Linked DNA regions of Mus musculus: all the other regions are reported to be linked to region 5. The links are microRNA targets in miRTarBase. Many come from high-throughput screens and were not tested one by one. Region 5 holds a microRNA gene; each other region holds the end of a gene's coding sequence. Distances are from middle to middle.
What was found. Region 5 holds the annotated microRNA mmu-miR-181a-5p (AACAUUCAACGCUGUCGGUGAGU, at 2,820-2,842, shown strand). A microRNA usually pairs through its seed, bases 2 to 8, with sites in the 3' UTR of a target mRNA and lowers its output. Matches are read on the target gene's strand: a 7mer-m8 pairs with bases 2 to 8, a 7mer-A1 pairs with bases 2 to 7 and ends in A, and an 8mer does both.

Region 1: the mRNA of Arhgap20 is a reported target of mmu-miR-181a-5p. Seed matches in the 3' UTR shown: 7mer-A1 at 1,641-1,647 and 7mer-A1 at 2,495-2,501.
Region 2: miRTarBase lists Chd7 as a target of mmu-miR-181a-5p. Seed matches in the 3' UTR shown: 7mer-m8 at 1,267-1,273.
Region 3: the mRNA of Srgap1 is a reported target of mmu-miR-181a-5p. Seed matches in the 3' UTR shown: 7mer-A1 at 973-979.
Region 4: miRTarBase lists Spin1 as a target of mmu-miR-181a-5p. Seed matches in the 3' UTR shown: 7mer-m8 at 2,739-2,745.
Region 6: the mRNA of Scai is a reported target of mmu-miR-181a-5p. Seed matches in the 3' UTR shown: 7mer-A1 at 1,833-1,839.
Region 7: the mRNA of Ddit4 is a reported target of mmu-miR-181a-5p. Seed matches in the 3' UTR shown: 8mer at 2,706-2,713.

The regions. Positions count from the first base shown.
Region 1 is chr9:51,849,574-51,853,640 of GRCm38, forward strand. It overlaps Arhgap20 (Rho GTPase activating protein 20), which reads left to right. Exons shown (of 15, transcript NM_175535.4): 15 at 1-3,486. The coding sequence ends at 826. All of the region lies in intron 1 of Arhgap20os (Rho GTPase activating protein 20, opposite strand), which reads right to left. Among named protein-coding and RNA genes, the nearest start is that of Arhgap20os, 24 kb to the right of the region's middle.
Region 2 is chr4:8,865,998-8,870,064 of GRCm38, forward strand. Chd7 (chromodomain helicase DNA binding protein 7) reads left to right here. Exons shown (of 38, transcript NM_001277149.1): 38 at 1-2,452. The coding sequence ends at 658. Among named protein-coding and RNA genes, the nearest start is that of Gm46842, 43 kb to the right of the region's middle.
Region 3 is chr10:121,782,175-121,786,241 of GRCm38, reverse strand. Srgap1 (SLIT-ROBO Rho GTPase activating protein 1) reads left to right here. Exons shown (of 22, transcript NM_001242411.1): 22 at 467-4,067. The coding sequence ends at 844. Among named protein-coding and RNA genes, the nearest start is that of Gm46183, 11 kb to the left of the region's middle.
Region 4 is chr13:51,148,826-51,152,892 of GRCm38, forward strand. It overlaps Spin1 (spindlin 1), which reads left to right. Exons shown (of 6, transcript NM_146043.4): 6 at 137-3,737. The coding sequence ends at 336. Among named protein-coding and RNA genes, the nearest start is that of Nxnl2, 20 kb to the right of the region's middle.
Region 5 is chr2:38,849,922-38,853,988 of GRCm38, forward strand. Mir181a-2 (microRNA 181a-2) reads left to right here and starts at 2,814; the gene lies at 2,814-2,889. The region is part of intron 3 of Nr6a1 (nuclear receptor subfamily 6, group A, member 1); the gene reads right to left. It overlaps Nr6a1os (a long non-coding RNA gene), which reads left to right. Exons shown (of 7, transcript XR_866167.2): 3 at 2,294-2,438. Mir181b-2 (microRNA 181b-2) reads left to right here and starts at 3,909; the gene lies at 3,909-3,997.
Region 6 is chr2:39,071,652-39,075,718 of GRCm38, forward strand. Scai (suppressor of cancer cell invasion) reads right to left here. Exons shown (of 18, transcript NM_178778.3): 18 at 1-3,505. The coding sequence ends at 3,359. Among named protein-coding and RNA genes, the nearest start is that of Gm30067, 6.5 kb to the right of the region's middle.
Region 7 is chr10:59,947,266-59,951,326 of GRCm38, forward strand. It overlaps Ddit4 (DNA-damage-inducible transcript 4), which reads right to left. Exons shown (of 3, transcript NM_029083.2): 2 at 4,052-4,061; 3 at 2,410-3,764. The coding sequence ends at 3,271. Among named protein-coding and RNA genes, the nearest start is that of Ddit4, 2.5 kb to the right of the region's middle.

The sequences.
Region 1 (4,067 bases), not on the chromosome of region 5:
TGAGGTGGGCAAGAGCAGCAGCTCTCACCAAAGCACTGAGAAGGTTTTGCCCCCAAGACTAAACCTTTGCCCAAGGGCAAGCTATTCAAGCTTATCTTCTCCAGGCTCGTCCCCATCCGGCTCCTCTGTAAGCTCCCAGGACAGCGCTTTCTCTCAGATCTCTGAACACTCCGTGTTTACGCCCACCGAAACCTCCTCACCAATAGATTGCACTTTCCAGACACAAAGAAAACAAGAAGAGCTGTCTTCAGACTTTGACAGTCCCAGCCGCCTTTCCGGAATGCCCGGTCCCTCCATGGGTCAGGCCAGCAGCCACCTAGCTTATTTAAGAAAGGGTACCACGGAGCAGCCATCACAAATGCATTCTGTAACCCTTCACCCCAGTGCGTGGTTGAGAAGTGGCTTGGTCACTTTAAAAAACTGGTCCCTCAAAAAGAAAACAAAAGCAGCCAGACCAGAAGACAGGAAAGTCTGTTCCCTGAAAGAGCCTCTGGAGTTGCCGTCATGTGCTTCCGGTACCCCAGAGGCTGACTCTCTACAAGAGAGTCAGGATGACTTACAGGGAGATGAAGGACCTGGGCAAACAGCCTGTGGATTCAGTTCTTATGCCTGTCAGGACTCAGAGCAACATGCCGGCTCTCCATTCCACCTGGCAGAAAGCAGACTCAAGCCTTGTATGAAGTTATATAAGGGAGAAGAGAGTGGAGGGCAGTACCCTTGTGATAACCCTTGGGAAGGAGCCTCTTCAAGTCTGGAGACCACGGAGGATACAGCCAACCCAGGTGCAGAACCTACAACATTTGCGATGACGGGGACAGATATTTAACCAAAGACCGTTACCTACAATAAGAATCTGATATCAAAATAATCCAATGTCTTTAAGAACAGGAACTGGGCCAATAAAAACACAGACAGTAATTAGATAACCCCATTTATAAGGTGCCTGAGGGCATGTAGCACAAGGACAATCACTGCTAATATGGTAATTTCTTTGTTGAGATTATGTGGCAGAAATTTGTTGAGACGTTACATGATCTAAGGTTTTGGAAGGCTTTTCCTATTAAAGCATGGGTTAAGTCCTTTCCTGAGATTTTCAGATACTGATAGAAGGGTAGAGAAGTGTCCTCTGTAGAAGATGCCTGTTCGTGTCAGCAGTCTAAGAGTTCAGGTGTTTTGAGAAGACCAGAGTACTTTAAATGCAGCATCGGTGACACATAGAGAAGAGTGGGAGAGAGAAGCCATCTTTATGCCATGGAATAAGTAGGCAAGAAAAGGGGGGCCACTGAGCCACTCAGAAAAGCATGTATGCTCACTAAGGAAATCATGTAAAATCTGTCCCTAAAGCCAAGTCAGTGGCCATTTCTGTGGCTGTTCTTAGTCACATATCTTCACTGGGTCATTTTTGGGACCAGCTCGTTGATGAAGGCAGAGTAGAGAAAACTAGTGGGTAAAGTGCCATGGGTGCTGGGACAACACAGCCTGTAATCGGGCAGCTCGGTTGGTTTTTGTTGTTGTTGACTTTCTCTTAGGGTTGAGTGCATTCACATGTATCTTTCTGAAATGGAGATACAAAGACAAGGAAGGAAGAGTTTGCCCCATTTTAGTGTCCTACCCACAGTCCCTATGCAACTGTGTTCTGGGAATGTAACGTATCCCTACATAAAGGAACCTGCTGATAGCATGCATCTCATAGCGCAGAAGAATAGCCACATAATAATTAGGGAAATTACTCTCGAGGTCAGTTTTCCCTGGCTGACTAATCTCAGGGGCAAGACTTCAGAGAAACAAGAGATGCTGGAGTTGGTAGCAGCCATGCAATGGTATTGTGCTGTGATCAGTAAGTGTGTGCAGAGATGTACCCAGATCAGGAAGCTGGGTCCTGCAGTACATACAGTATATTACAGAAAGTGGCCTCTCTTTCTTAGACCTAATGGCCAGTTGCCATGTGACACTTGTGTGCACAGATATACCCAGATCAGGAAGCTGGGTCCTGCAATACATACAAGATATTACAGAAAGTGGCCCCTCTAACTTAGACCTAATGGCCAGTTACCATATGACACTTCTCTATATAAGTCATACTTTTCTCATTTTGAAAAATGGCAGTTTCCTGCAACAGCTCTCCCTTCTTGGTTCCACAAGCAGTATTTATCAATATGGCGTCTCTGTGGAATGTTTCACTGTAGCCCTTCCTGTTAGATTACAGTCAGCCAAGAGGAGACAAGGGACAGCTGTTAATTATTCTTTCATTCTACAGATTGTTCCCGATTTGAGATTGGCAGACTGTAAGATTATTGAGGAGAACACAATGACATTGCTCTTGGGTGGTCTCTGATGGCCACTGCCTTTGGGTTTTCTTGCTGAAGTTCTCCACTTTTTCCAAATGATTTATAGTTTATAAATATTCAAGTTTAGACCCTGGCAGTTTATCATAGACCTTTGTCCTCTCTCTCTACCTTCAAGGCTACATCAGTATGTCTTCCTTCCACAGCCAGAATGTAATGGAAGGATACACCCTAAGATAGATGCGCATCTTCCTTCATTTGAGCTACTCCCCTAGTCCAAAAGTTTCCTAAAGTCTATGTGATCTCTTGAATCCCTGTTTAAAAAAAAAAATCCACTCAAAAAATAGCTTATCCCAAATTATTATTCCTACCAGTCACCAGGAAACTCGTGGCAGATGTCTCCTTCTCCTAAAGATCACATTGTCAGTTATAGGGTAAGGACTTATATCAGTATTAAATATTGAAGTGCCACCTACCTCTCAGGCATGGCCCTGTTTACCCTAATCATAATTAACTTTCAAACTCTGTGTCCAGTGAGCTCCTTCATGACACTTGCAATCTCAACCAGATGTAACCAACCACTTCCATATGAAGACTCCTCCATGCCCTCCATATCTTTTGTGGTATTAGTATATAAAGTTGGCAGATCAACGCTTCCCTTTAGAGCATACTACTGTCAGAACTGCAAGATGTGAATGAAGATCTTATGGCTTAGATTGTCTCTCTGTAAGAAATGTCTCCTAAACAAAGTAAAGTGTCCTGGCTTTTCTCTCCCCACCTCCTTTCATAATGGCCCAGTAGAAAAAATCATCCACTGAGTTTGAAGCATAGAAGAAAATAGCTGGTAAGGCTCTCTGCCAACCATTCTGACTCTGTTTCCTTAGATGCTCCCAGGATACTTAATGTGAATAGTCTGTTAATATTGCTGTAAAGTATTGTATGAAGACAGACATGTCATTTTATTAGACTCCATCAATCTATAATATATTAGACTGATTCTTTATCTCAAATGCGATGAGTTTGTATAATATATCTTGACAAATTTTATTACCGTGTTATGTAACAAATGTGTATTTTTGTACCTTGCAGAAACTGCTGCTAACTTTTAAATTGTTTGGTTTTTCAAGGCACTGAAAATGGACATGTACCAAGTCCATGCTGTCAAATAAAATGCCACCCTGCAGCTAACAGTCCCACAGAGAAATACTGACTGCCGAGGAGAGTTCTTTCACTCAGCAAGCCTGAGCTCCCTTTGAGTTGACCATTTCATACATAATGAGTTGTGGCCTTAAGTTTTTACTCATAGTTTTTCTAGGGGAAAAGGAGTGAAATTGTTTTTCCTTTTTATATTTTTAAATCTCGTTTATCAAACAAGTTATGTTTTATACCTAGCCGTTCCCCTTTTGTCAGAAATTGTGTTTTTTCATTGTATTCCCGGAGTGATGCAGACAAGTTTGTCCACATGCCAAAAGAAATAACAGCTCACTTTGATTGCATGTATGAGATTTTCTTTCACATTTAGGCCATTCTGACAAAAGGACCAAGTTGACTTTCTACACATACCAGGATATCTGTTCTTTGATGTATGACAGTTTCCCAAGACTACTGTATCTCCTGACTTCTTGAGGTTTATCAAGCAGTCTCTGTATAAATCTAACTACTATTTCAAAGGGATTTATAACCTAGAAAAACTAGATTTGCTCCAGCCAGGTGGAAAGGACAAATCCACTTTGACAAATGTTACTAATTGTATTTCTACAATGTATAAACACACACACACAC
Region 2 (4,067 bases), not on the chromosome of region 5:
GGCCACAGCTGCCACCGCCGGAGGCGATGCGAAGAGCCCCGCCGCAGTGCTGCCCCTGATGCTGCCAGGGATGGCGGGCCTGCCCAACGTGTTCGGCTTGGGCGGGCTGCTGAACAACCCTCTCTCAGCTGCTACTGGAAACACCACTACTGCTTCAAGTCAAGGAGAGCCAGAGGATGGCACTTCCAAAGCGGAAGAGAAAGGAAACGACAATGAAGACGAGAACCGAGACTCTGAGAAAAGCACAGACACCGTTTCGGCTGCTGACTCCGCGAACGGATCTGTTGGTGCTGCTACTGCCCCGGCTGCGTTACCCTCCAACCCGCTGGCCTTCAACCCTTTCCTCCTGTCCACCATGGCCCCAGGCCTCTTCTACCCATCCATGTTTCTACCTCCAGGACTGGGGGGATTGACACTGCCTGGCTTCCCAGCACTGGCGGGACTCCAAAACGCCGTGGGTACCAGCGAAGAAAAGGCTGCTGACAAGGCCGAGGGAGGGCCCTGTAAAGACGGAGAGACCCTGGAGGGCAGCGATGCCGAGGAGAACCTGGACAAGACTGTAGAGTCCTCCATCTTGGAAGACGAGGTTGCACAGGGTGAAGAGCTGGACTCCCTCGAAGGCGGGGATGAGATAGAAAACACCGGAAACGACGAGTAACAGCAGCAGCAGTTCCACTGAAAGTGTTGAAAACTGTTGACAGGTGGTAGTCCTACTGTTTACACTCACAGTTAATGTTCATACCTAGTTTTATAAGCTGTTCTGTAACATAGTGTAGCAAAAAAAGAAGAGAAAAAAAAAAGAAAAGAAAGAAAAAAAAAAGGAAAAAAGTCCAAGTCATGTTATGCAGGTGTGTCCGAAGGTATCTTGGTCATAAGTATTGTGCAGTGCATTATTTATTATCCCTAGGAAGGATGAAATTTGAGAGGTGATCATGTCTTTTTAAGGAAACTTACATAATGCTCTGCTTTTTTCTTTGGGTACCACTGGTATTATAATAAAGAGCAATCTGTAACAGAGCGGCACTAGTGGAAGGAAGTGCTACTCAGAGGACGTATGAAGTTATATATTTAATTTTTTAATTTTAATTTTTTTTGCTGTGAAGGTCAAGATGAAATTTACCATACATATCATCCCTTGTTCATTCGTCTCCCTTTCTGACTTTATGGGGGTTCCCACATTTGCATACACACATCCATACACTCTGACAATCTCCACGTTAGTGTGAACGCCTCTGTCCCGAGGCTCAGCAATAATCAGGCAGCTGTTGAATGTGAAGGGTCCCTTTGGAAAACTAACCTTCTGGGAGGGTTCTTGCCAGACAACTGCAGTTCCATTGGCTTGTGGTCTTGTGATGCACTGGTAAAAACTAAATAAATAGAAGAGTAAATAGAAGATTGAGAGAAGTGAGAATCAGGTACCTTTTTTTTTTTTTTAAATTAAAGGACTTTGTTACTTTAGCCACAAAGCTAAAACAGCATTACCTCAGCTCTGAACTAGCCTTGAAGTTTACAGACAGGACTTTGTAAATGTTTTTCTTTGTTGTGATGTCCTTTGATTTTTTTTTTCTCTGAAAACTGCTATCATGTAAGATAAAATGTAAATTTCTGCCAACTGTAGTAATGATGCTTTTAATAAAAGTGACCCATGATATGCAGAGATGTAGTTATAGAATGCAGTGTACAGGGGAGCTGGTGTCCACTTTTTTTTTTTTTTTTAATTCGTAATAGCTGCAAATACAGCATTCTGGCATTCGGACTTTGCTTACCGTGTCTTCTCATGCTAGATTAGCTGTTAGTAACACACACTAGTTGTCTCCAAGACCAGATGGACAGGAAAACCTTGAATTACCACCTTCATGTAATTCCACGCCAGATATCTCAGCAGACACATACACACACACAAACCTCTTATTGCTCCCCTGAAAGGGCATCTGAGAGTAGGGCTCCTGAAAATGTGTGCAGCCTGTGATAATGGGGCACACAGTAGACAAAAGGGCAGAAGAAAAATGAGGCTTTAATAGGCACACTATCTAGGTCATTTATCCTTGGATAATGGGAAAAAAACACAATGTCGTAGTGTCAGCAAGGGACACAAAGGCATTCTGGTGTCCTGCAGACCAGAGCTTGATATCAAGAGCCAGTGTGTGGAAAAACCCACGTGGAACTAAAATGGACCCATTTAAGTGTGTGTGTGTGTGTGTGTGTGCGCACGCATGCGTGCACATTCACGAGCATGAACTCACATTCACCCAGTCTCAAGGACTACTAGATTATTAAATCCTTTATTTGTTTTCTACAATAAGGTTTAAATTATAAGACCTTTTTCTATGTCATTTCAGCAAACCCTATTTCCATCTAAGAAAGGAGTGATATACATGGAATTGTGCTTGTCTTTTACCTTCCCATACCCCCTTTACACACCAGTACATACCAGTGCACACACAGGTTATCCTCTACAGGGGACAGGCCAGCCTATCTAAATTCCTTTTGGACAGTGAGATTCCAGCTGACTTGTGTATCCAAGATGAAAATATGCCTATATGACTGGAAGAGGAGAAACTTGAAGCCACAAGAGTGGCAAAATCTTGAAGGCTAACCAGCCTGTGCTCGGTTAAGCAAGTGCCTTCTGAAATGGCCTCCTTTGACCATGGAAGTGAAGCTAGATCTGCGGGGAGCAGAGACCTTAAATGTTTAACGGAAACGCTTGAGTAGGGAGAGCTGGTTCAATAAACTGCATTACCAAAGGGTCTCTTCCTAAAATTCTGTTTACTGGAAAGTTCCTTGTCAGCTTCTGTGAACAGGGATGAGTGTGACTCTGTCCCTGACAGCACTGAGTGTCTCGAGTGATGCTGATCTTCAAAGCAGAGGTGTCTGTTGCTTGGCAGCAGTAAGAACTCTGAACTTAGAAATCAGCACCCGTTTTGTATTACACGAAGTCATTTAGAGTTCCACATTGGAAAATACATGTTTTCTTTCTTCCAATGGAAAGAAGTCATGACATCCTGAATCTATCTAAAAAATATTTACGATTCGGCCTAATGCTAACCAGTGTTTCCCGTGCTGTAAATGAGGCACCAGAGCACCAGTACTGTGTGATGCTTAATTCCACGAGGGAAGCCGAGAAACGGAAAGTAAGTGGCTCACACTGCATTGGAGGATGTGTGAACCGTGGTCCAACCGGCCCTCCTGAAGGACTGCATTGGTTTTCAAAAGAAAAATTATATGTGTGTGTGTGGGGGGGTGATCCAAAGTTTTTGGTGTTACTGTGTTTTATATATTCCTCTTCATAATTGCATAGTGTAGTTGAGGCTGAAACTTGAAAGAAGTGCTTTTTTTTTTTTTTAGTTTCTTTTTGGGGCAAGGTCTCTATGCAGCCTAGGCTGACCATATATTCACTTTCCTGCCTCTGCCTCCCAAATGCTGAGGTCATAGGTGTTGTGTTAGAAGTGTGGCTTCAGACAGACCACACCAGGCCAAACAGTTCCACGTGGTTTATGGTAGGAGAAAAGGGCAAAGGTGGCTGTGAAGGAGATGGGTGGGGGAGGGGAAGAGGGAGAGAGAGGTCAGAGGGGTCTGCCTTTTATTTAAATGGAGACCTAGTGGTGGGAAGTGAGCCAAATGGATTCTGGGAATATGGTGGTGGTTGTCTTGGCAACAGGTGTGTAGGTCACTGTTGCCTAGGTGTGATGTCACTGGGTCTGGAGCTGACCATGACACCAGCATACCACCCTTTTTATCATAGAAGAAAAGGGGGGAGGGGCAGGGGAAGCCAAGGAATTAAAGGGTATGGGGAGCCAGTCCTGATCCCGTAATAGGAGTGTGTTGTTACACAGGGAAGGAAGCCTGTGAAATTAGATCTGGAAACTGGAAATTTTCAGTCCCAGTTTGTGTGTTTGAATTTGAGTTTATGATGTGCCCCCCTCTCCCCCCCCCCCCCCCAGTATTTCTAGTGTATAAAGAAACCAAGTTCTTTGAAAAGATGAACTTGGTCCTGATAGACCCTGGTGTTGGAACCAAGCTTGGCCGGTACTCTAAGCCCAGACCCTTAACCGCTGTGCTAATGAAAT
Region 3 (4,067 bases), not on the chromosome of region 5:
TGCTCTTGTCAAACCAGCTCTGGGGAAGCAGAGACAGGCAGATCCGAAGGAAGGGTCTGCCAGCCAGTCAGTCTATCCTAAACAGCGAGTTCCAGGCCAGCAAGACACTCTTATTTCAAAACAAAAGGGACAATACCTGAAGTACAACAACCTGAGGTTGACCCTCAGGCCTGCACATGTGCAAGCACACATGTACACACACACAAAGATGAAACAGAATTCTGATCAATCACGCACAAGACATGGAGACCTCAGTAGGTGGCCTAGTACCTCCGAATGACAGTTGTTTGATCTGTGGCTCCATGTGCGTTGCTTCTAAGTCTCCAGATCATTTAGAGTCAACCCAGATGCACGAGGTGGCAGCGTACAAACCCTGTGGACAGACTGTAAAGTTCAAGTATTCACACTCTCCTCTTTGTTTCTGTGATCACCAGTCTCTCCTTTTCTCTCTTATTTTCTCCACCAGGATATTGAGGAGACCATGAACACTGCTTTGAACGAACTCCGTGAACTCGAGAGGCAGAGCACAGTGAAGCACGCCCCCGATGTCGTGCTAGACACTTTGGAGCAAGTGAAGAACTCGCCCACCCCTGCGACTTCCACAGAATCACTCAGCCCACTGCACAATGTCGCCCTCAGGGGCTCAGAGCCACAGATTCGCCGGAGCACCAGCTCCTCCAGCGAGACAATGAGTACTTTCAAGCCTATGGTGGCGCCCCGGATGGGCGTCCAGCTGAAGCCCCCAGCCCTTAGGCCAAAGCCTGCTGTTCTTCCAAAAACAAACCCTACGATGGGACCTGCCGCACCTTCCCAGGGTCCCACAGACAAGTCTTGCACGATGTAAAAACAAAGGTCACGAGGGGAGGGGGGATGTCTGAAGATGAAAATGAATTAGTGGCAAGAGTGGGTGATCCACAACCTTCCTTGGTCTTGCGCTTATAACTGGAGAGTTTGGCTTTTCTATGTTGTGTCGAATGTAATGATGTCTGGGACTAGCTAAATTAACATGGGCATTTGTATTTTGTAATTTTTTTTAATAACTGGACATTATCGTCGTTTTAAAGACAATAGAAACACTTAGACTTACTTGAAAAATCCAATGCTGCACCCTTGTAATGAAGGCAACACCTCACCCAACACTGCGTATGGCTTCAGATTTAGTGTAGCCCAGGTGAGTGTCCCAGAAGCAAGAGAACCCAAATCCCAGGTCTTACTGGAGTGTCATCACCTGCCACGCATGATCTGTGACACTTGTGGGATGAGCACTCGTTGCCTAGCAACCGACAACAAGCACCTCTAACCCTGTCCAGAGTAGCAGCCCGCACCTGATGAAGGTCACAGAAGGAGGCTCCTGTGGGACCTTCAGTTCATGGCTTGAAGGAGTTCAGTGGTGGACCCTTCCATAAAACTCATCTCCCTGGATCCAGGTTAAAGACTCAGTGGAAGTGTGTAGAAGATACTCGGACATTGCTTGAACTGAAGCTAGAAGAGGCTGTAAGGGAAACTGTCTCCATGCCTGTTGACATGGTTCCCTCAAAGAACTCGATCGGCCCCGGAGAAGTCCAAGTCCACCCCCCACACACACACTTACAATGGACTAGAGCAGCCGAGTCATAAGGACTTTCTGGTTACACCACAAACTCCTGCAGATGTTTTCAATAACTGCCTGAGAAATATGTCTGCCTTCCCCTACTCCCCCCTGCAACCAGACAGGAAATGAATCCTTGGTTCCTTTATGCCACAAAGGCCCAGTGGTCCCCAATCGGAAGCCCCAGCTCTGCTAGCCACAGCTCTCTCTGAGCCAAGCCAGATCTGGCTACTGTACTGAGCGAGAGCCATGTGAGGCCACCATGGGAAGACGACCTTGTGGCGCCGGGATGGTGCCTTCCCAGTTTTGTACCTCAGAATCATGACTTCTGTTCTCCTCCTGTTTGTGTTTGCCTTTTGAATTTTGCATTATAATCTCTACAGACCTCCTGTAGTCCAGTGGGCTCCACTGGGGACCTCTTTCCCTGGTATTTTAGCATATAGCCATTTTTCTTTATCATATATACTATATTTTTCCTCTATCTTAAAAAAAATATGATAGATTTGTGTTTGTTTGGTTCTGGGGACTGACAGGGACTGCTTGCATGCTAAGTATACACTACCACTGAGCTGTACATCCCAGCTCTTGCCCCTCCCCCCCAAGATCATTCTGGACACAACTGTTTTCATTAAGATACAAATCACAATTTTCCTAGCCGTAGCACCCGAACTTCCTGATGAGGCAAACAGAGGGCTCAAAGCAAACCCCTTGGGACCCACCCACCATTAATTACCTTCTAGGTTTAATTTCAAACTGGTGGTGCTGATTGCATTTGCATGCCCACCTAAGAGTAGCACAGCACTGACAATAACTCCTGCAGAAACCAACCAAGACCTGCGCTAAAGTCAAGGTCATGACCCATGGCTACCTCAGTTTGCCAGTATAGTCATTCCACTGCAGGAAAAAATATTGATGAACTATTCCCTTTCCAAGCCACTCTCCTCATTTCACAAATGTACCGAAGACATACTCCCTACCCCCAGGTACTTCAAGTATGGTAAAGTTTTAAACCTCAAATTTTTCAGAACCATTCTTTCTGACCATTTTGCAAAAGAAGCCATGGAGACCCAGCCAGGACTGCCCTTTGACTGACAATGACTGCTGGTCTCTTTGGAAGTTTACTATCTCCTAAAGGAACCCACCACTTATTTAGAAAACAATAACGATTCTTAGAACCATTTTTCCTTGACGGATGATACCAACAGGAGGCAGGAGAAACTGGCCGCCTTTTGAGTTCATTTATAAAGGCTTTTCTTAAGCTTAATTTTAGCTTTTCAGATCTTCCTTAGACAGCTCCCAGGCAATCCCCTCCACCCACCTCCCCCCACCCCCCCCAGTCCAAGGCCTTCAGTGCTCCACCTATAACTTTCTACCCCTAGGTCAGGACTCTGCTGCCTTGAATAACAAAGGCCATGCTTTTGTACTGCCAGGGCCTCTTCCTCTAGGAAATGGCTCCTGGTTGACTCCATCGCTCCTGTATCTTCCTCATCTTCTCTCCTGTACCTACTGTCATTTCCAGGCTCACTTTGGTCTCAAATGAAAGCAAAGAGTGTAGACGGTCTCCAGGTAAGCACCTTAACACTTAACAGTTAAGTCTCCTTTCTCAGAGATGGCTCAACAGGCCTGTTTTCCCCCACCACTCTGACTTTGGTACCCTTTGAGCCATGCACACAATAGCTTAAGGTAAGGCATCCCCCCTGCACAGAGGATCCTAGAAACTGTCCGTCAAGCTCCCTAAAAGCTGCAGCCATGGAAAAGGGTCGGCTTGCAGGGCCTGGTTTGAAACACAGATGTAGCACAGCAGGAAGGTACAAGGAAACGAACCCCAAGGTGCTCTCACTTCTCCCTCATTTCCAGGTCTCACGGTCCATACATACGTAGTTTAGAGATAGGAGCAAATGACTGTCAGCCGAGATACCCGTCTCCACATGCACTAAAGATTCGTAGCTGATAGAACCACGCGGTTTGCACCCCTGATGGAGGTTTTGCAAAGCCCTGTGGTGTGTGTTTCGAGTTTGAGGTGTGGATTGCTAGGACATGGTGCTCATTCTCTAGAGAGTGTCACATAAACTTCTGAGGGCACTGTGTAAACCTTGAGTTCTTGTCACAAGCCACACCATTGTTCAACAGTTTTCCTTGTGTTCACTCAACATAATCTGACGCCCAGTGCCCCACGAGCCAGCCACAGGACAATTCATAGTTGAGGTCTCACTCATTCAACTACCATAGTCATGAGTAAATACCAGTGGATAAAGAGTTCCCAAGGGTCAGATGGTCTCTCTTGAGTTTTCTGTCTCTGCATTTGCCAGTCTCCAAGTGGCTCTATAGTTTAACTAAGAAGCTGGGTTGGTAGTAGTGGCCTTAGCATTTTGGAATGCTCAGTCTCTGACGTCTACATGCTGAAGGAATCGTGATCTAACATCTGAAACCCAACAGTAAGGAGGCCATGAGTCCATTGAGAGTCTATTTGGGTTGATTT
Region 4 (4,067 bases), not on the chromosome of region 5:
AAGTGTTAACCTGACGAGATCATGATAAACTCAGGATATCTTAGAAGTGTTTATATTTGCTGCAAAATGTGGTAGTGATCTATCTAAATATTGACTTGACTTTTTTTTTTTTTTTCCTTTTCCTTTTTAAATACAGATGATTCGCCTCCAGCAGAAAGGGAGCCAGGAGAAGTTGTGGACAGCCTGGTAGGCAAGCAAGTGGAATATGCCAAAGAAGACGGCTCGAAAAGGACTGGCATGGTCATCCACCAAGTAGAGGCCAAGCCCTCTGTCTATTTCATCAAGTTTGATGACGATTTCCATATTTACGTCTACGATTTGGTGAAAACATCCTAGATGTCATCACAAACTTTGCCAAATTTGTGGAACTATTAAATGTATAATTTGTAGACATAAAGACTTGATTGCTTTCCAGTTTAATGAAAGCTTAGATGTCCCTGCGAACCCACAATCTCCACCAGCAGAGCTGGTGTTGTTCTGAATAGTGCAGACTGATTCGAACACAAGGCATCTGTGAGGGGAGTCCTCCCTCTTCAAAGCATCTGTGTGAGGGGGTCTTCCCTCTTACAAGAAAGCTGTCTGTTGGGGGTTACAAGCAAGGTGGTAAACGTTAAGCTAGTATCATAGTCATTTAAACCTGGATAGATTGTAACCATTTTCCCTTCACTCTGACACTGTCTTATTCTGCTGCCACAATGCAAGCATAGTTTGTTATTTTTGTTACTGCCTTTTTTGAGAGATTATGTATCTATATAGCTACCTGTCTAGATCTGCATCTGTGTGCCTATGTATATATTATACACACACAGAGGCACTCACCGCTGGCTCTCCTTTCCTTGGGGATTGGGGTGGGGGTGATAACGTTTTCTCCAGTTCAACAGGAGTGCTTGACCCAAGTCAGTCATATTTATAATATGCCTGCTCTTTGTTTAAAATTAAATTTGGGCACAGGAAGCACACAGAGACATTTAGGTTGTTTAAAAAGTCAGAATTTCTGAGTACCATTTCAGTCTGGAGGCTTTTAGCTGAGTCCAGGTATAAATTAGCCATAAACAGTCAATGACCCACAGTAGTCTTTAGTAAACTGTTGAGAAATCTGGGTAAAAGGCTGCCTTCAATTCTAAGCTTTGTTTTTTTGTGGTTTTTGTTATTATTTGTTTCTGTTGTTTACTCTTTAATCGTAAGTACTTTTAAACCACGACCCAGGTCCTTGGTTCACATGGAATAATAAAGATGTGTTTTTAGATGGCACATTGGTCCATTTGTACACACCTGTCATCGGGATCTTAGTACATGGACTTAAAAGGCAACACTACATCAATGGTTTGTATATGTGGTGAATTCCTGCAAGAACAGTGCATTTGTATTAGAAATGTAAGTTTTAAGGATGGCCTTGTTGCCTTCTATCAAGTTCTCTGGGACTTTGTAATTTTGATTACTACTATTGATACATGGTTATGGTCAGAAGGCCTCTTCTCCCTTCCTCCCTCACTCCCTCTCCTCCTAGCTTTCCCCACAGAGAATGTTAGACCAGTATGGCTTCTTGCCTTGATCCTGTTGTGGCAGTGTCTGTTCCTGCCCCAGGTGTGCTATTCACGCAGGTTTATTCCCTCCATGGCCTCCGGGCTTTGCATGTCTATGATGTGTGTGTCGCTGGGAAGGTCATGCTTGCCAGTTATGGGTGGATCGCAGCTCTTCGCCATCAAGTGCATTCAGGATTATTCCTGGGAGGTTGCTTAAAGCTGAAATAGAACTGAAATGCAGTTGGTAGACTAGCCAAACATCTGCTTGCTCTCACTTTGTTTTGGAAGAACCATGGTAGCTTGTCAGCTGGTAGAAAGATGGTTTGTAAAAACCAGTTTCTCACGGAGGTTGAACCTATCTGTGGCTGGACAGTCTTGGATACTGTCAAGCAAACACCAGAGGCTTGGCCAAGTATAGTTACAATTACCTAGTTGGGGTTCTTCCTGATGCAAGAAATTTTTCACTGTTCGAGGCACATGGTTATTGGCTATCCATTTAGTTTTCACAGAGGCTGACCACCTTACACTGCTGGGTGGTCACAACTGCTCACCATGTGAACATAGTACCTCAGTTCTGTCCTTGGCTGCAATCGTTGTGTGCTCAGTGTTTTCTCATAGGCACCAGGGACAGGCTTCTCAAGGCAGTATGATATACCCTAGTCTTTGGTGCCTCTAGTATATGTGACCAGGTGTCGTCCTGCATGTAAATCTCCGAGCTGAGTCTGACTCACAGCCCATGCTGTCATCTGTGGCACAAGTGGGTGTGAGTACGTCCTGCATGCACTAACGGTGCAGAACATGGCATGGTGACTAGAAAGTAAAACTCCTTTTGAAGTGTCCCAAGGACTGGGTCAGTTAGAACCTGTCTGCCACTATCTGATGACTTACATTGTGGTTTTCTACAAGCCACCTCAGTTAACTTTGGTTCCCCGTGGACTCCCAGGCTGGAGGAGGAAAGCGTGAGGACGGGGATGATTTTGATCACGATTCCATTTATTGCCTTTACATAAGGTTGAGGGAAGGGGAAGGTTTGGTTTGTTTGTCTTTTAATTGTTTTTTTTTTCTTTTTTTTTTTTTTAATTCCCCCACCCCACCCTCTTTCTTTTGGTGGCTTCCACCACCCTTAATGGTGACAGACTCCTGGGCCTGCCACCTTGGACTTCCCTTAGGCTCACAGTTCAGATCTGCATGCATTGCTTGCATTGTTCTGGTATCTGAATGTTGATTCCTCATTTAGGAGTTCAGCATTAATTTCCAAAATTTTCATGGGGCTTGTGGCAACACGGGCCGTGAATCTGTGTATAAAATTTACTGGCCTTCTTCACTTACCTGCTCTAGTATCGTATCGTGTGTGCGTGCGTGTGTGACGTCAGGCTGCCACGTAAACTTCAGAGAAGAACCTTAAAGCAGACCATCCATTTTTGCATGCTCTCTTCTAAGTAGAATGTTCAATGTAACTAAAACTAAAATTGCATGTCAAAGAGACCTAGGTTCTTTCTTTCTTTCTTTCTCTCTTTCTTTCAGTTTGCTTTTGGTTTCCTGTATATTTGCTTACTGTGCTGTTCTAGTGGTTGTAGGGTAAAGACGAACTGGTGAAGCAGTCGTAGCGCCGACCGAAGGTGATTCCAGTTGTATATGTCACGCAGCATTCGAAGGGACTGTGCACGCTCTAAAGATCACAGTTGCTTCTAAGCCAGATTTCATTTCTATTCTTGTTTTATGTGCCAAACCCCAAAGTGCATTGGGCCTGAATCTCTGAACACTGTAGACCCATTAGAAGGAAGATTGTTCTGACCGTCACAAATTGTAGTGCCTGAAAACACTTAACACTGATTGTCTAAGAGATGAAAGTCCTCCAAAGATGACACAGGAAAAATACTACAAGTAATTGTGGTGGAAATGTCTGTGTTCCTTGGGAATGCTGCGCTCTCTGTAGTTTCCATCATTGGTGCAGTTCGAACGAATGAGTAGAGTTCAGAGGTCTTCGTGTTCACATTTAAAACTAGATAAATGACCTCATTTTCTTGAGCTTGAATTCATTTTTAATTTTAATTTTATTTTATACAACGTGTAGACGGTTCCCTGTTCTCTGCATTTAGAAGTATACACAGTACAACTGTTAATTCTGTAAGTAATTTTTATAATTATGATGTAACTCTTATCCTTCCTTAAAACATTAAAATAAACCCTTTATGTGCAACTTGTGGCTGTGAACTTTGTGCTGCTGTGTTGAATCTGCTGAAAGGGGTCTGGAAGTCAGGCAGTGTTTCCACCACATGGAAATGTCAGGGTTGATAGAAAAAGAAGGAAATGAAGGTTTGCTTGAGCGGTGACAGCAGTGCCATCTGATCTGGGCCGGCATTGCTGTCATCTCGGATCTAACTGTTGATGTTTTGATTTGACATTAATAAGAAATGTTAGTTAACCCCGACTTTTAAACTTCAAGCAATCACTGTACATAGAACTCGGTAATGTTTGTGGAGTGTTTTCATACCTACCCATTCTTCAAATATTGCCTCCAGTGCTTTTTGTTCTTAAATACAA
Region 5 (4,067 bases):
GGAATGCTGTACACTGAAGAACAGGTTTTATATTTTAATTTGGTGCAGCAGATATCACTGTTTCTGATTATCTGTTCTAAGTAATATAAAGCTTGACATCTCTTAGGAGACAAAGGCAAAGACCATTTAAAATAAACCTAAGCCAGAGGTTTTAAACTACTACACAGGAAGATACCTTCCTTCCTACCTACCTTCCTTCTTTCCTTCCTTCCTTTCCTTTTTAAAAATTTATTTTACTTATATGAGTACACTGTAGCTGTCTTCAGACACACAAAAGAGGGCATCAGATCTCATTACAGGTGGTTGTGAGCCACCATGTGGTTGCTGGGAATTGAACTCAGGACCTTTGGAAGAGCAGTCAGTGCTCTTAACCACTGAGCCATCTCTCTAGCCCCTATATTTTCATTTCTTTGGGCTTCCATTTCACAACAACCGAACTCAGCAAAGATTACAAGAGAAGAATTTTGGGGCTGGTGAGATGGCTCAGTGGGTAAGAGCACCCGACTGCTCTTCCGAAGGTCAGGAGTTCAAATCCCAGCAACCACATGGTGGCTCACAACCATCCATAACGAGATCTGACTCCCTCTTCTGGAGTGTCTGAGAACAGCTACAGTGTACTTACATATAATAAATAAATAAATATTAAAAAAAAAAGAGAAGAATTTTGATGGAGAATGAAATAAAGTGATGCAGAATGTAAACAATTCCATTTGAACCAAATTCTCGCTGATTTTTTTTTTTTTTTCCCTCTCAAGAAGTGCCATTTGGCTACTTTAAAAATGAATCTTCATCACTGGGCATTGTGGCACACACCTTTAATCCCAGCACTTGGGAGGCAGAGGCAGGTGAATCTCTGAGTTCTGAGTTCGAGGCCAGCCTGGTCTACAGAGTAAGTTACAGGACAGCCAGGGCTATACAGAGAAACCCTGTCTCGAAAACAAACAAACAAACACAAAAAAGAATCTTCAGCTAGGTCAACCATCAGTATTTAAACCCAAAGCGGCTGGAGAAATGATGGCTCATTGGTTAAAGAGTACTGGGGGCTGGAGAGATGGCTCAGCAGTTAAGAGCACTAACTGCTCTTCCAGAGGTCCTGAGTTCAAATCCCAGCAACCACATAGTGGCTCACAACCATCTGTAATGAGATCTGATGCCCTCTTCTGGTGTGTCTAAAGACAGCTAAGGTGTACTCATATATAATAAATAAATAAATCTTTAAAAAAAAAAAAGAGTACTGGCTGCTTTTCCAGAAGACTCAAGTTTGATTCCCAGCACCCATATGTGGGCTTATAACCATCTAACTCTAGTTCCAGGGAATCTGACACATTCCTCTGGCCTTTGAGATTATCAGCCATATACTTAAGCAAACACCCATACACATAAAAATAATAAATTTAATAAATACATTTAAGAAAATATTTAAACACAAAGTATCCTAGATTAGATAGATATTAACCTCAATTCAGCCAGCAGCTCTACAAAGCTTCTATGTTGCTTAAAATAAAGCCAATATTCTGAAAAATGTTTAATTAGTTTTCAAGACTTTTCATAAAAAATATTCAATAAATAGCCAGGCATGATGATACAACCTTTAATCTTAGCACTCAGAGGAAGGCAGGCAGATCTCTGAGTCTGAAGCAGCCTGCTCTACATAAAGAGAGTTCCAGATAAGGGGAGGGGAAGGAAGGGGGAGGGGAAGAGAGGGAGGGATGGGAAGGGAGGAGAGGAGAAAAAAATGAGGAGGAAAAGAGGGAGGGAGGGGGGAAAAGAAAGTCAATAAGTAATAAAAAATAACCACCCAAAACAAAGATCAGATACATCTGGCATTTTAGTTGCTCTGTGTTCTTCTAAAGATTTTTATTTTTTAAGTATGTATGTATGTATGTATGTATGTATGTATGTATGAATGAATGTATGTATGTATGTATGTATGTATGTATGTATGTATGTATGTATGTGTGTGTGTGTTTGTTCAAGTGCCTGTGAAGGCTTGAGTTGACAGATCCCTGCAGCAAGAATTGGTAGTTACAGATTGTGGTTAAGACAGGTGCTGGGATCAAAGTCCCGCCTAGAAAAGTACAAGTTCTTATCTGCTGAGTCATCTCTCCAGATACACTCTCTGTGCTCTAGTACACATAGAATTTTTACTTTTCCTATATGGGGAAAAAAAATCATGGAGCATCACTAGCACTTCTGTGGTAATTTAGCAGCCCATGATTCTCAGCTACTGAGTTTTGTTTTTCATCTTTTTCTCTGAAATATATGACTTTAGATGTATTTTCTACTATTACAGGCAAACAAGAAGGAATTTGCTTGTTTGATTTAGCTCTGCAGTAAAGGTTCAAATCTGAGACTGGTAAAGGAAGGAGAAAGCAACATATCCAACCAATACTGGAACAATGAACTCTGGTGTTCAAGTTCTGGCTATGGAACTCCGGGTAAGTCTCTGTTTCTTAAGGAAAACACGGTTGGAATTAAATATACAAATCCTACTACACATAAGTCCCCAGCATGTGTTATGGTCTTTCTTGTTTTTGTACATTAATAATTAAAGTATTACTACAAAATTGCTATATTGATGTTTTCAGAATGATAGCATTGAAAAATATTTCCACAGATATCCACTTTTAGTCAGCAATGTAAACTGCAGTCTCACAATCCTGCAGCTCATTTCTGCTTTATGCAAACTAACTTCACAGTGTAAGTACTGTTAACTTGAAATTTTGGGAAGAATGTGAGAGACCCAACAGCAGTGGTCCTTAGAATATGAGAGCAGGCCAAAGATGGGCAACCAAGCCAGCCTTAAGAGGACTCCATGGAACATTCAACGCTGTCGGTGAGTTTGGGATTCAAAAACAAAAAAACCACCGACCGTTGACTGTACCTTGGGATTCTTACAGACAACAAGTTTCCTGAAGCAAAGGAGTAGGCTGTACAGATATATCATGTGACAGACATCACAAGATACAGTCCTGTGGCCTCTTTTCTAAAGGGAACCAGCAAGTTTTTTTTTTAAGCTTCCATGTATTTATATTGTCTATTTTTTGTAATTTCTTGATAAATAAGTGTTTCATTTTAACAATTTATGGGAAGTGCCATCATAGTACCAAATGCACTCAAATATCTTCTAGAAATGTGTCATTCTAGTCAGAAATAGGGTGTATTAAAAATGTCTATTTACTGTAGGAAAAAAATCTAGTTAAGTCTTTTATTCTCATTTCTTCTACGTCCTTTCAAATTTTTGCTTTAGGGTCAAGAGATTTACTCAGCAAAAATACTCACAGAGTTACTCACTGTCTATACAAATCATATTGTGCCTCCAGTTTCAGTTACTGCGGTTAGGGATTTGACATCTCCATGAGAGAACCAGATACATTTCCATCTCCATGTGCTAATTTAAGGAATTCTGGGTCATCTCTGAGCCTCCGTATCCAAGTATGTTTTCTCAAATGTAGAATAGGAGAGGAGAGAACCTCAGAGTTTTAATTTAATGAGAAGATATATGAGGGTACTTTGAACAGTTTCTGGCTCACAGCAAATGTTTACTACAAAAATTTTTACTTAACTGCAATCATAATCTATACTGCTTTACCTTGAAAAGGGCACTTAACGTCTCAGCTTGAAACAAAAGATGAAGCAATGTCTCTGAGGGCTCCTTTACAGACATCAACATCCAAGTCTCAGCCCATGTGATCAGAGCTACTTACAAGGTTCTCACATAGTGCCTTCTTCCTCACAACTTTTCTGTCTTGAACAAGTTCTTGCTATACAGTCAAGGTGATCTATAATTATGAGTCCACAACCATACAGATGACTAGTTACTAACATACAACAGACTTCAAAGAACCATAGTGGGAAGAAGAGCCAGGAGATAGAAAAGACCAAGACAATTTCATCAAAAGGAAACATTGATGGCTGCACTCAACATTCATTGCTGTCGGTGGGTTTGAATGTCAACCAACTCACTGATCAATGAATGCAAACTGCGGGCCAAAAAACGCAAAGAAACAAAAGTACTCCCAGAGAGTCACCAGAGTACGGAAGTACTGCTCCAGGTGGGACCTCAA
Region 6 (4,067 bases), 220 kb from region 5:
TTCCTAGGAGGGATATACTTACAAAGAATATATACTGCCTAAAATCAAAGAAAAAAAATCTGATTTTATAATTAATAAAAAATGCTAGTGGTGGCTGATTCACTGGCGAGAATATTCATTATACTGGGATTTAACCACAGAGCCTTGCAGATGCTAGGCAAGCACTCTATGACTGAGCCTTATCTTGACTGGTTTGAATTTCCAAAACAGAACAAAATCCTAATTTTTATGTTAAGATTATACAGCTCTAAAAATTTCCCTCCTGTTTATTACAGAAAGAAGTTTAAGCAACTGGGCTGAGATGAGCTCGTGTTTGTTATGTCTATCACCAAATAACCAGTAGCTTCTGACATCTCAGCTTGCTTCCTATAAGACAGGGAAGGTTTAGTATCAGAAATACATGGATACAGAAAGAAAATCCTGTTGTGCTTCACTTTGCTTTGTGCATAACCAGTCTCTTACAGTCTGATTCTTCCTAGTTTGTTTATAGTGATTCTTAAGACACCAGAAACTTTATCAGAATCTACAGAGAAATTTGTGCAATTTGAGTACAAAAATGTTGCTCCCTTGGCTTTGCTTTTTTTAGTCTTACTATTTAAGTTTTTAAAAATTCTAAGATTAAATGGAGCTTAAAATAGGCAAATCTATTTTTGCAAAAGGGTCTCATACTGTAGTGCAGGCTGGTCTAGAGCTTACTCTGTATAGCTAAGGATGGCCTTGAACTCCTGATGCTCTTGCTATACCTCTAAGTACCAGGGATGGAAACCAGGGATATACGCATGCTAGGCAAGGTTCTAATACTAAGCCCGATCTTAATCCTCAAGGCAAAGATTTTTAAGTCTCCTCTGCTTACATTTCAATGCCATTAAAAAAATAATGTGGTATGTGTGACGTATGTTTGTTTTTATTTTTTAAGGCAAAGATTTTTTTTTTAAAGTTTCAAATTCCCTACTCCAGTTTTGCTTTCAAAAGATTTCAGATCTCTTAACAATTGTTTTTGAGGTGGACTTTTGCTATATAATCTAGATTAGCTCTGACCTTGCAACCTTCCTGCCTTAGCCTCTTATGCACTGGGATTAAAGGCATGCACCACCATACCCAGCTCAAAATTGGTTCTATTGTTTTCTTTCTTAAAAATATATTTTTTTCCCCTAGTGATGAAGACCAAACACAGGATTTCTGAATACTAGCTAAATGCTCTACCAAGAAGCTACAACCACAGCTTTGGTCCATTTTATATCTTTAACCACGAGTTAGGAACTGTATTTCTATTAGTTTAAGAACCCATGTTATAATCTAGTTTTACACTGGCATCTGCAACATACATTTTTTTTCTGACCATGGAAGGTCTAATTTCTCCAGGAAAGTCTCTTTAAGCAAGTCTCAAAACAGCAAAGTATGACCTAGGATTTTTTGGTTTGTTTTGAACCACCTTAGTAAACACGATATAGAAAGGATATTATAGTGCTAAAACCACACAAATCAACTTTTTTGGAAGCAATGGGGAGGAAATCAACACTTTTGGAACAAATGTTCCAAACTGTAGAATCACAAACAGGAATAGGATCTTAACCGAGTCGCTCTATTTTATATGGAAGAGTGCTAAAAAACAGATTATTTGTCTGTCAAAGGATATCATGCTCATTACTAGAAAAGCCAGGATTAGAACTCAGACCTCTTGCTTTTGAAACAACTGGTCCTTAGGCTTAGCAAAAAAGAATAAAACACTGGTCAAGGCCACTTTAGATGTCAGGGAACAGGAAAGTATGCATTGTTGGTCAGTACTTAAGGGAACTGGAACAGAGGCCAGACTACTAAGGAATATTTACTGCTACATTCCAGGAGGAAAGTTTATAAAAGGAAAATCATGATTTGCAAACAAATGGAAGTAGGCCTTTTAAAAAGGAAAAACCTCTATCTGGAAGGGCTCTTTCCAGATTAACCTTTTTCTAAGCTTTTAAAAATACTGTCTGAAAGAACATACAAACAATTTTAAAAGCAAATGAAACTTCCTAAGTCCCTGACCCAACCATGACCTGGACTTCACAAAGTAAGTGCACTGGAGCAGATATGGCCACAACTTACACCCACGTGATGCTCTAGTGAGAGTTAACTGGGTTAAAATACCATATCAAAAATTTCCTTAGGGCCACAGGAAAGAGGTACTGAAAACAACCACCTCATTTCTCTAGGACTGTCAGGGGTAGACACAGGCAGAAGACCCTACAATTCACAGATTTCTGAATTTAAATGCCATGCAACCAAAAGATGCCAGGAAGGAAGAACCTTCACAGCTAGGACCTTTGAGATTACCAAGGAGATGGAGGGAAGGATGTACAAAACGTTTATATTACATATTGAGTCCTATTTAAAATAACAAAACTTGTGCATGAATATAAAATAACAAAACACAGGGAGTTTTAATATCTTCCAAATTGTTAAAGCAAAATTAACTCACGATTTACTTCCTTAACACCCAGTTATCCTCAACTCACACAGAGTCTCTCTAACATCCATGCCTTGGAAACTTGAATATGAAAAAAGATTAGAAAAACTGTGCAGCGGATATACCAAGGAATCCATTACAACACTGTTTAAAACCAACCAACGAAGAATCTGTGTAGAGATCCAACTATGAAACCAATGACTTGATTTTTGGCTGAAATACTTAAAAGTATTTTCCTTTGCATTTTTAGCATTCATAGACCACAAAGAAAAGTAAATATGCAAACAAATCATAATAGTACTCATATTCTAAATATCTGTCATCTTAAAGTTCCTATTTAAAATTTAATTTCCAGATGCAAACAATTCTAAATAGGTTCTAAAAATTTAACATCATTTAATGAAATTCAGAGATCTCAAGACATCAGTTTGTACATCAGAGAGTAACTTATGTCCTACCGATTAGTGTGAAGTGAAAAGCAACTCCACAGAAGGGCTCTGCTCTTGACTTTCATGTGGCCAGTTTCACCTCTATGAACAATTAGGTATTTCCCAAATCCAGACACTTCCAGGTCCAAGTTTAACTTATGGATTGTCCTCATTATGGAAAAATAAACAATATATGTTCTTCTTAAGGTGACAACAGTAACTATTTGAATGTGGGGGTAGATGTTGGAGGTAAGTATCTAATGCCAAGACCAAAAAAATAAAAATTTCAAGATTGAGAATTTAAAAGACTTGAAAGATTATATTTTAAAAGTTACCCTAAAAGTTTGAACTTTTTTCAGTTTGCTTTTAAAATGGTGTTTCCTAAATCCAAAAATAAAAACCAAGTAACACACTATGTCATTACATTAAAAAATTGCACCATTTAAAATCTGTGGAAAATGAAAAACTGTTAAACAAGAGGGTTTTAATAGTCATCCATAGAATTCTCAAAGAAGATGTTTCGAACATCCAGAATGGAGGCCAATTCCAAAATGTGCTTCTGAAGGTGAGGATTCTCTACGGTTTCATCCCTTGGCAGTTGTGGATAGGATTCTGGGTAATTTCGCGTTTCCTGGTAAATAAGGAAAGTCAGGTTCACAGAGTGCTGCGAGGAAATTACTTGGCTTAACAGTATTAAATGTTAAGTTAAATGTTTATTTTCTTCTCTTACCAGTTATTATTACTAGTATATTTATTTATTTTTTTGACTTTTAGACGGGATCTTGTTATCCCTCAAACACGTGGTAATGCTCTTTTGCTAGCCTTCTGGAGAGCACAATCACATTTGGCTACTGTACTGAATTACTAACAAGTGACACTTTTAACCTCTTAATATAGCTTCATATGGGCTAGCTTAATATATTAGCATACTGAATTATTTCACAAATATTTGCTAACCTTTATGACTGTTAGGCTCTATATTCTATACCATCAAAATTGATACAAATCCTCAGAGAGATCCACATATGGGACTAAACAAGCCCCGCCACCCAAAACTCATTGCATGTATGAAAAAAGCTGTAGTAGAAATCAAAATGTGTAAAAAGACAAAATCTAAAATAAAAACTTCCAGAAGAGAAGAGAAAAAAACCTTTGTAAACTTAGACCAGAAAAGATTTCTTAGGTACCTGAAG
Region 7 (4,061 bases), not on the chromosome of region 5:
ACATTTGAAAAGATGTAAGAGGAAAACAAGAGCAGAGAGCCAAGGAGTCCCCGTGGAAGGGGACTTGTTCTATAGCTAGCCCTAGGACTGCTCGAACCCAGAGCTGGCTTTTTTTTCTGCCCACAGTGGAGCCCAGTGACATCCTCTTCAGAGTCATTTCCCAATGTCATCACCTCTTTACAGACCACAAAGATCAAGTGACTTGTTTTCATTTATCCGCTACAAAATGTCTGAGTCAGGGTCTGAACCCAGAGCTCATCACTTCTAAATCATGCAGCTCTAGCTACAAAGAACAGACCTCCTCTGAGAGCTCCCGGGCTGGGGATTAGGCTCAGCTAGCAAAGCAGATAGATGTCTAGCATGGATAAGGCTCTGGGTTCAATCCTTTGCACCAAAGCCTGTACTGTTTCCCTAAGCTAGCTGATAGGCATACAGAACAAGTACACTCCTCTGCACTTTCTCCTCACGAGGCTGGAAGGCCCTAGTGTTCCCTGAGCCTAGGGAGAGTGGGTATTTGATGATTCTGACACTATACACCAGAGGAACCTTAGAGCACCCCGCAGGGCTGGAAGCAGATACAATAACATCTAGGACTGCCAAGATTTCAACATGGCCATTGTGAAGGATGCAGGGGGGGGGAGGCAGAGGAGAGACCTAGAAGGCTGATACTTTTCTCTGGGTTTTAAAGGAAAGGCAGAGAGGCCCATGTCCCTGGCAGAGGTTACTTGAGAGAGTAGAGTCTGGTGCTGAGCCGGCTTTTAGGCTTCTGGGTCACACTGGTTCTAAGAAAGCAGTCCTTCCTCCTACCTCCATCTGACCAGCTTTGAAATGGAAGGACCCACTCAGACCTGGAGATACCAAGGCAGGGGAAGGGCTGGCTGTGGCTTTCCTGGCTTTTGCTTGGGGTTAGGAACACAGAGGAGCAAGCAATGTCATAGTCTCAGTTTTATGAACAGCATCTGTCAGCTAAAGGGGGGTGGGGGTGGGCTGCACCCTCAGGTTGAGTGAGCATGGGTCAGCCTTTGTCTGAAGAGATGGTCATTCTCCATGCCCAAAGACATTACAGAACACCCCTGCCCAACCTACCCCTCTTAGGATGGTTACTAAGAGGGACCCTAAGATAGGTGAGGCTGTCTGTATCCTCCCTCCCACCCTCCTTCCCTTGCTTTATTTTATTTTACTTTATTTTTGAGAGAAGTAGAATCTATGTTATTATAGCTGGTCTCAAACTCATCTAGACTAGTCCAGGCAAGTCTGGAGTTGACTCTACAGCCCAGGCTAGCTTCAAGCTCACTATATAGGTTGGATTCATGGCAATCCCCCTGCCTTCGCCTCTCAAGTACTGGGATTCCGGTTGTACATTGACTGTCACACCTGGCTTCTAACTCAGGTTTACTCATTTTGGGGAATAAGCTCTGAGGATTCTATGAAAGAGATGTGGGTCTCCTGGGCTACCCCAAAGGTCAGGTCCTGGATAGAATCCCCGAGGAAAACCAGATGTTTTTAGTCTCTGCTTTCAGCTCACTGGAAGGATCTGGCTTTCCTTTGTGGTTGGTGGGAGATGTGGAGATAAGTCTAGGGTCTTTTACTTGTCAGGCAAGTACTTTACACTGAGCTACATCCCCAGCCTGAGGGAACTGTTCTAACTAAGCCCTCCAAAAGGATGCAAAACCAAGAACCGTTTTTTTACAGTCTTGGGGCACACAAAGGCAGTCTGGGATCAGGAAGAGAAACAAAGGAGACAGTCATTCTCCAAGGGCCACTTGGTGTGGGTGGACTCTGGAGTCGGGGACAAGTGAGAAAGGCCTTGGCCTTCTTGGCTCAACTCCAACATTTCTGATAAGAAACCCAACTCCAGCCTTCTGTCTGGGAAGGAAGTCAGGGGTCACCCTCGTCATCCCCCTGCCTTTGTATGGTCTCTGCTCCTGCCTGGGCCACATCTCCTGAGCCTAGGTTTCTTGCCTAGGGAGAGGTTTAAACTGAATTGTCTTTTGCAAAGGTCTCTTAACCTTTTTTTATACCCAGAGATAAAACCATACCCTTGACTATGTACCACATCAGTCTAGACTTTTCCTCAGAGAAAAGGCCTTAGGCTAAGGAGACTGGGCCTTCTCACCTGGAGAGCAAGGTAACCCTCCTTGTAGAGACTCAGACTTCCAGGGAGGTCTGACTCATCTTTCACCTTCGGGTGCTTTCCAGCACATTCTCCTGGTAGCTCCACTCAGCAGAACTGAGGGACCTTGGCTCTGATGGCACAGTTCCCAGGTTGCCAGGCAGTCCAGGAGCTCTGATGGCAGTTACCAGGCAGTCAGGGGACACACAAGTGGCCCCTGAAATCTGATGAAACTTGTGACCAGCACCCACCACTCTCCCTTTTCATTTATGGCGCCGATGAGACTCAAGTGTTTTAACAAACATGTTTATTAGAAAAGTAAAAATATTGCATAGGTCTTAATACTTGAACATCAAGTGTATTCATGAACCGCGAGTAACTTCATGTAAACAGGTTCTAGATGGAAGACCCAGGTGGCACTCCTCTGGGAAAAGAGGGTTCCAGCCCCCCACCCCCACCCCAGCCCCTCTCCTCACAGTTGAATCCTCCAGTACATGGGCACCGGGATGGGCTGGCTGCAGCTCCCAGGTGTAATTTTGTTTCAAGTGTCGAAGATCCCGAATGATCCTAACACCCACCCCATTCCTACTCTTACATTCATGCAGTCTGTAAGATAGCTGCCTCGAACAGGTCAGTAGTGAAGCGCCGATCCCCACCCCCCAAAACCAAGATACAAAACAAATGACAAAACACACTAGGTCCTTTCAGACCAGAAGATACACAAACTGTCGGCCACCTCCCCCTGCCTCCCCCCCAGCCCCCAACCCCCAGCCGGGGCAGAGGCCAGTGCAGACCAGCTGCCCTTCTGGCTCTGGCCCACAACTGCTGTTGTAACTTGTCAGTAATAAAAAAAAATAAGGTACATGCTACATACACATCCAGCCAGAAGCCTGTGTGACTCCTAAGCCTTTGTTTCATGCTACAGTACTGAGGGGCGTGTGCCCCAACAGGGAGCCACCTGCATACAACCTAGAGACTTCCTGGAGAACACTTCCTTCCCCCACCTGGCCCTGCGCCCCTCAGGTGGCTATCGTCAGTTTTCTAACACAGGGGACAGTCCTTCAGTCCTTGCCTGCGGGTCTCCACCACAGAAATTCCTTGTCTTCACTTTGGGGGGCAGTGAGAAACCCTCCCCGCACCCCACCCCAGGATGTAGTTCAACACTCTTCAATGAGCAGCTGCTCGGAGCTGTAGAGTTTCTTCTTGATGACTCTGAAGCCGGTACTTAGCGTCAGGGACTGGCTGTAACCAGGGACCAAGGAAGAGTTGGCAGAACTTAACAGCCCCTGGATCTTGGGCCAGAGGCGAGAGTCCAGACGCAGCACCAGGGTCAACTGAAAGGTGGGCACCAGGCTGGGGTCGAGGGCCAGCTGAGCCACGCTATGGCAGCTCTTGCCTTGCTCCACACACACGTCCAGCAGTGCCCCCCGCAGGCCGCACGGCTCACTGTATGCCAGGCGCAGGAGTTCCTTGCCCACCTGGCTCACCAGCTGGCTCGGCATGAGCAAACGCGCAGGGCGCCGCGAGCCCAATCGCGCCTGGGACAGGCTCTCCTGCAGCAGCTGCATCAGGTTGGCACACAGGTGCTCATCCTCGGGGTCACTGAGCAGCTCAAAGTCGGGCAGGGACACCCCATCCAGGTATGAGGAGTCTGGATAGAGAGAACACAGGGAAAGGGTATTGTATTAGAGCGCCTTCCACAGGAGCTGTACGGGCGGGGGAGGTGCAGTTTGCCTAAGCAAACAGTGTCCCTTTCCACTCCGTGCCTCAGTTTCCGCCCCGCAGTCTTGTCTTCTAACCCTAGAGTAATCTGTTTTTTCGTGCTGGGGTGGGAAGCCAAGGTGGCTTTGAGCCGATTCAGCTCGCTTCGTACCCACCTCCCGGGACCCCTCCCACCCCCCATCCCCGAACCCAATTCGGCCCCGGCTGAGTGCTCACCTTCCTCCGG